2 linked regions of the Kluyveromyces lactis genome follow. The protein of the gene in region 2 interacts with the protein of the main gene of each other region in a pairwise test. Links are inferred from orthologs where the notes say so. Each region holds a gene or a part of one and is shown on either strand. Other genes may lie near its edges.

Region 1 (2,624 bases), on a different chromosome or scaffold from region 2:
ACAGTCTCAAAATTAAAGATAATCTGAAAATGACAAATCGGAGTTTATACTGAAAAGACCAATTGACAAAACCTCAAACCTAAGTGTACCAATTCATATACTTATAACATGAATGATAAACAGGCCTGAGTTATTTGCCTCCCTTGACCTTTTTATAAGTTGTCATCGTTTTAATAACACACACTTTTTTTTCAATTCACGATCTTTATAACGGTTACTTTTTTTTTTGCTATATGCCTGTAGTTATTACTATAGCAAATAATAATCAAAAAGAGGTACCGCTTTTGGTATTTGTTTCCAGTATATGATATTCGTCGAGGGGGTAATGTACACCTGTAATATATAACAAAGAGATTTACCTTTTTACGTTGAGCGAAGTAATACATCATATACTGAATGATATGGTGGTAGTTGGCAAGACCATGTTCCATTTAAAGGATTCGTGGTTGCATGGTATAATGACTGCTTAATTATGCGAATTATGAATATGCTATATATATAATGAAACTAGGGCACGATGGAATGGTTTGAATAGGAGAAAACATTATATCACGCATACGCAAACGTAAACGAAATAGTGGAGGATTTTGGAGATGAAATAAAAATGCATGGGAAAATTGAATGTCTATTGAAATAAGCGTGTAAAGGAATTCAATAGGACATTACGCCAGCATCGGCAGGAAGTAAACAATTCGAATTTTAACTTTGTTATTAGCTTTGTCATTTATTTTTATTACTATCTTAGGTCATGTCAAATTAAAAAAGCATTTCAGTTGTAGATAAATATAATGGGACCGGAAGCACTAAAAAACATGCAGTTTTCAATTCCTTCTACAATTACATTTGTTCTTCCTTAATCACGTCAATTAACCAATCCAAACCTTCAGTTATCCCTTCGCCCTTAATGGCACTGGATGCAACAATACTCCAGCTTCTATCCTTCAATTCTGCCAAGTTCAACTCCTTTGATACTTCTGACGCACTTAATGCGCCTGGTTGATCTTGTTTATTGGCAAATACGAGCAGAGCGGAGTCCTGCAATTCTTCTTCTTGCAACATGAGGTGCAATTCCTTCGAAGCTATATTCATACGGTCCTTATCTGTAGAGTCAACAACGAAGATAACTGCTGCTGTGTTTGCGTAATAACAACGCCAGTATGGTCTAATCGAAGTTTGTCCACCTAGATCCCACACGTTAAGTTTCAAGTTTTTATAATTTAACGTCTCTACATTGAAACCAATGGTAGGTTTTGTAGTTATCACTTCTCCTATCTGTAGTCTGTACAATATCGTCGTCTTACCAGCACCATCAAGCCCTAATATCAATATACGTAATTCTTTTTCCGCACCCAATAGTCTATCAAACATAGAACTAAAGAAGTTACCCATTGTGATATTTTATAAGTAATTGCTGTACTGCGGTCAATTCAAAGGTAGTTGGTAATTAAAGAAAAGGTGTATTAATAAGTCAATTAATAATTTAAAACCAAAACTTTTGTACTAGTTGATATGTAAAATTAGGAAGTACTTGTTCAAAATATTTCTTATTTGAGAACCAGTTACAGCCAAAATTCGAAACAAATAAACGAATAAACAGCGATCCAGACAGCGGTAAGTTTGTCTCCTGATGTGTAAACAATTTTATTGTATTCGTACTATAAGATCAGATAATGTCTTTGTAATGAGTGAAATATTAAATACAATGAAATCATAACTCCTAACCAATGCAGTGTGTTATTAATCACTCGATCCTGAGATTTTCCTTTCACTAAAATTGTAGTTGGCCTTTTAGTGGCCGGGTAACAACAAACAAAGAGACCCCATTAGACATAGTAAAAATTACTTGCGTATATAGTCTGTATCGTTCACATTGTCCTCGCTGTATTTTTTTGTTCAATCTCAATTTTTTATATATGCGAGTTTGTAACTGCAGAGAGCTCACATGAGGCATACCGGTACTGATTAATGCTCTGAATTTTCTTTCTTCTTCTATCTGTATAAACATATTCTACAATATATGAAGAATTTGTAGATCAAAAATGATAATCAGAGAAAAATAATAATAGAATATATTAATCTGATTTGTAAAAATACAAAACAGTAAGACTGCATACCTTTGCATGCAAAGCTAAGGGTAACGTGATTATTATTGGATATCTTAACTACTATATTGCCAACTAAGTGTGGTAATATATCATTATTGGAAAGGCTTTTCCATTGCCTATAATTGTTATTCTTCACTACTTTTTTTTCTTTCAAATAGCAGGCCACATCCACATAAGATGCATCCGTTGTACAGGAAACTCCTTAGGGAATGGAAACGTTTGAGCCATTATAAGCACTCTACATGCCATATCAAGCCACAAGAATCAAATTTGCAGTTCTGGAATATAGTACTACATGACGAAAGCCGAGATTTGGAACTTTACTGTGTTGTTTTCATAAGCCACAAGCCTATGAACGAATGGGAGCCTATCATACTATTAAACTGTTTGACACCTAATCCCTGCATACCTGTGAATAAGACTATCTGCTTGAATCATCTCTCTCCTGTTCTTCTGAACTATGGGTTGTGCTCCTTTTATGAGCATTTGTTATCATCAATTTATAGTCGCTGTACTAAT
Region 2 (4,573 bases):
TATTACAAAAATATCCATACACCGCCTGATGAATCGGTGGAATCTATTTCGCCCGTTGTGACCGAAACAAACTCGTCGATAGTAAATACCACTCCAGGTCCAATCTCTGGCTCTGTGATAGAAACCCCATCCGCAAGATCTGATCCTCCCATATTATCATCGATTCTTACATCATCGATGAAGCAAAAGCAAAAAAGGGAAAGACATATTCATTTCAATGACCGTGTCGAACAATGTATTGCGGTTAATCATAACCCCATAGACGCTAATCCTAATGATGACGAAGTCCCAATGACAAATACCGATTACCACTCTGACGATATGTCGGACGGTGCCAGATCTTCGCATCAGTATTCTGACTTTGACGATGGATATAGAAATTCAGGGGCCAACAGCGTCGAAGATTACGCCGATGACGAAGATGATGAAGACGCTGACAGCTACGATTATGATGAAGATGACGACGAAGATGACGAAGATGATGGGTTATTTATCAGTGCACATACTAGAAAAAATCGAACCAATTCGGGGGCTAGTGATGGCACAGATGTTGCAAATTCTTTAAGATCACTCTCACTATCCAAATTTCCAAACGCAACTATTAAACCACTTCCAGCCACTACTCTAAACTACGGATCTGACGATGAATATTATGATGAAGACGAAAATGAATGGTATTATGGTAACGCAGTATCACACAATGTGAATACTAGCAGAGGATTTGACTACATGTATGATTATAATTCCGTTTACACGGGGGATACATCCAACTTTGTAACTGTGGACAATTCGTGTGATATCCTCGATGTACCGGATGGCATTGGATTAGATACTCCAATACAGGACGCGAATGACGGATATATGGATGATGACTCAAGAGGGAAAATATATACATACCATCAAAGCCTTCCGGTACAAGATGATAACGATGAACATCCGGACAACGAATTCATCGCAGATTCTTCCCAACCTGGTTTCAGTCATGATGACGAAGAGCATGACGATAACGGTGAAGAACTAGAGCTTACTGCAAAAGACCCACTATCATTAAGGCGAACCTCATCTATAGGGAAGTCTAGAGCAAATTCCATTCATGATTTTATCACACCTTCCAATTCTGCATCTCCTGTTTTAAAACAGACACATAGCTTCATCACTGGAGAACCTTTATCTCAACACAATTCGACGGTAAGAAGACCACCATTAAAATCTCCTTCATCGGGTAGCTTTTTATTTGGATCTGATTCTGATTCTGAGTGATCGCTCAAGTGCTCTTAGGTATATTCGGAGTTCATTTTTTTTATTGAGGTTAAACTTAAAAATACCACTCTACCAGCATATATATTTTTTTTTCACTACGTAAATAGTATTAATTAGAAGAACAACAATTTTTCTTGGTTTTATCCATCTGCGTAGATCTCTCGCTCAGCGCTTAATGCTTCTATTGATTAACTTGCTACGGTGTTTTATTTATGTTGAGAGAGTGCGCTTAATTATATACTCAAACTACCATGTTCACTTTCTTTTAGAAGTATCATTGAATATGTAAAAACTGAAAATCGATTAAAGTTCATATTGTAAACAGATACATACACCTTTAAGATGCATAGCAAAGAAAAAGCTGTTCCAACAGACTATAAACCAGCGAGTTAACTATGCCGGATAGGTTACTGGGAAGTGAGACACCAGCTCTATCTCTAACTCCTGATAGTAGGACGCAATTAAGTCGATCTCCACTATTGGTGCCCAGTCATGCCTCAGATGATGCTAGCTCGTTGAACGATGATCTATCTGTATTATCTAGAAACAGGGATCAAATAAGGGACAGTATGTCTATGAGGCGTAGTAGTTTTGATTCCACATTCAATTCTTTTTCTACAACGATGCATACCCAAAAACACGGTCTTGATTATTCACCGTTGGTTGATAATTCAATATATGAAATTGTGATGAACACCAGATTTAAAAGATGGTTGCGGCACCCAACCACCGAGGATATTCCCCCTGTAGTTCTAAGCAAGAACGATATTAAGGATAAATGGGACAAGGATATTAATCAATACAGAGATGACATTAAAGACGAATATAGGGTGTATCAATCGACAAATAATATATCAAAGTTGAACCGAATGGAGCAAATGAGATCTATTGATCATGATAAAACTGCCCTTGGATTGCAAAATACGAAAGCCAAGGCATTTGAAGAAATACCTGAATTCTATTTTGATAAGGAGTTCAAATTAGATCACCCCAATTTCTTTCGAATGCTTCTACGAGATTTTGAGTTTGATGCCAATCAACTACTAAATGATGATGATAAAGTTAGAAATGACAGCTATGAAGAGCTTCAAGGAAGATTGGCATTCTACTTAGATACTGTTGAGGGACTCCTTGTTTCTGAAATCTCCAAGTCTATACAAAGCTTTTTTGACGCTTTGGAAGACGTCGATAAGATTAGAGAAAATGCGACAGAGACAATCAACGAGTTGGATTCTGCTGCTGAGGCCCTTGAGAGGATAAATGGGGATAAAATCTCAAAAAGAATTGAGATGATTAAAGATCTCATAAGAAGGAAAAATGTGGAAAAGTTACAACAGGGGATCCTACAAGTAAAACTAGCGAAAGAAAAATGTGAAGAATGTAAAGAAATATATCAAGAAGAAAAACTACAAGAGTGTTTGAAATTGGTTAAAGCAGTTGAGAACTTAATAAATGGTGACAATGATGATCCCACTGTCAATGATTGGACCTCTCAGTGGCCGTACAAACTCACAAACATCTCAAGTTTTTCTAGTTTACAGGGCATAATAGACATGCTAAATAATCTGAAGGTTGACATCGGGGGATCTTACTCATTGAGTCTGGTTACCGTACTATTGGAAGATTTGAGGACGTATTCGAAGTCTCAATCGAAAAATGACACGATCATCAAATTGCAATCTAGGAAGGATAAGAACAAACCTCATTTAAAGATCGATGAGACCTTCCGAAAGCAAATCAAAGAAAATCTAATACAATTAATCGATTGTGATCAGTTGGTTCCGGCAGTGAAGCTATACGAGGATAAATTTATAGCAGAGTTGAAATCTGTTATTAAGGTTAATCTACCGCATGAGAGACAAACACCTGAAGAGTCGAAAGATGGCTCTAAACCAACTGCCGCCAATGGGTCAAGGCTATCAAAGTTGATTCAAGAACAATCATCTCAAGAGTTCCAATCAATGCTTGTAAATATATTCACTTCTGAAATCGAACTATTGAAGAGGTTAACGCGGCATCAGAAAATGCTATTAGACATTTCGCTAAGTGAATTACCGACAACGGCAGAGCAATCTGATAAGATGATTATTGATCTTGATATTCGGAAAAGCGTTAACGAGGGTATAAGGATAGTACAGCTTCGAATGGGGAAAATAATCTCAGTGAGACGGGATATCACATGTACATTACGTTTCGATCATTTCCTTCAGTTCTACGAGATATGCATGCTTTTCATGAGAGAGTGTGAATCTATAAGCGGTGAATTTCTAACGAAGTATCTTTCTGACGTATTGAACCTCCAAATCGATACATATTTGAAATCTTTACAAAATTTGAACATAAGGGTTTTGAAACAAAAGATCGATGTAGAGAGATGGACACCATTCATCGTCGAGCCCGAATTGCAAAAGGATGTCAATGATATTGTATCGTGTATTGACATTGATCCGTCAAATTGGACACGATTCATCGAGTTGAACAAACCTTCTCCATTAGACGAAACAAAGGATGAGAAGCAATCCTCTACCGGTCACAAAAAATCCGTTGTCTTAGGTGATAAGACATTCGTGGCAAGCGAGGCTCTAATCCTTGCCATCAAAATGATCAAAACTTTATTGGTACTCGCCTCAAACTTCCCATCACAGTATGCAAGACATTGCGAACGTCAATTGTCCGATGTCTTGAAATTCTTCAATACAAAGGCAATAGAATCTATATCATCATCACTGACAGACAGACTATCTACAAAGACAGATAAAAACTTGAATATCATGGCCGAATCACTTGATTGTCTAGCGGAAATAACGCTACTACTACAAGGGTATTTCCAACGTACGCTGGGATCTAAGACAGATAAGTACGAAAACATCTGGAAACAATTACAACAGTCCAGTGAGAAATTGTTCCAAACAAACAATATCCCGCCTCCTGTTTAAGACAAGTACTACCCATCGGGTAAACAGTTCACTGCGCATGATAGAATAGGTGATATCTCAGTTGTACTGAATATTTATGCATATATATTAGCAATATGAATCACGTGATAGTGTGGACTCACTATATGCGTCTGTGTATGTATCGTTACCCTGCTTTCCGTATAATATGATCGCAATTTCTAACGAGGGTCAACGTTTTCCAATGAACATCATGAAAACATTGACCCAACGAAGCTTTGAAAAGTTAGAGATTCTGATACTTTTGAATTAGAATGTTTTGTTTTGTTTACCCTGACAAAACACCAAAGTGATAGTTTTACACTGGTACCTTAAGGCGTGTGAGAGTATTAATCACTGTTCAAGTACGCGCGGCATTT

Evidence for each region.
Region 1: the proteins of VPS54 (region 2) and ARL1 interact in binary tests that used the Saccharomyces cerevisiae proteins (3 or more experiments, as listed by UniProt). The link is inferred for Kluyveromyces lactis from reciprocal best matches to the Saccharomyces cerevisiae genes VPS54 and ARL1.

What each region holds. Positions count from the first base shown.
Region 1 is NC_006041.1:2,193,319-2,195,942, reverse strand, and holds ARL1 (Arf family GTPase ARL1), read right to left. Parts: upstream 1,390-2,624; coding exon 838-1,389; downstream 1-837. Other genes in the region: UBS1 (Ubs1p), read left to right, coding at 2,283-2,624. UniProt on the Saccharomyces cerevisiae protein: Recruits golgins such as IMH1 to the Golgi. Can bind and hydrolyze GTP. May be involved in trafficking events within the endosomal system.
Region 2 is NC_006042.1:414,459-419,031, forward strand, and holds VPS54 (Vps54p), read left to right. Parts: upstream 1-1,655; coding exon 1,656-4,196; downstream 4,197-4,573. Other genes in the region: RPI1 (protein phosphatase regulator REG1), read left to right, coding at 1-1,260. UniProt on the Saccharomyces cerevisiae protein: Involved in retrograde transport from early and late endosomes to late Golgi by linking the vesicle through the t-SNARE TGL1 to the Golgi, leading to the membrane fusion between late Golgi and endosomal vesicles.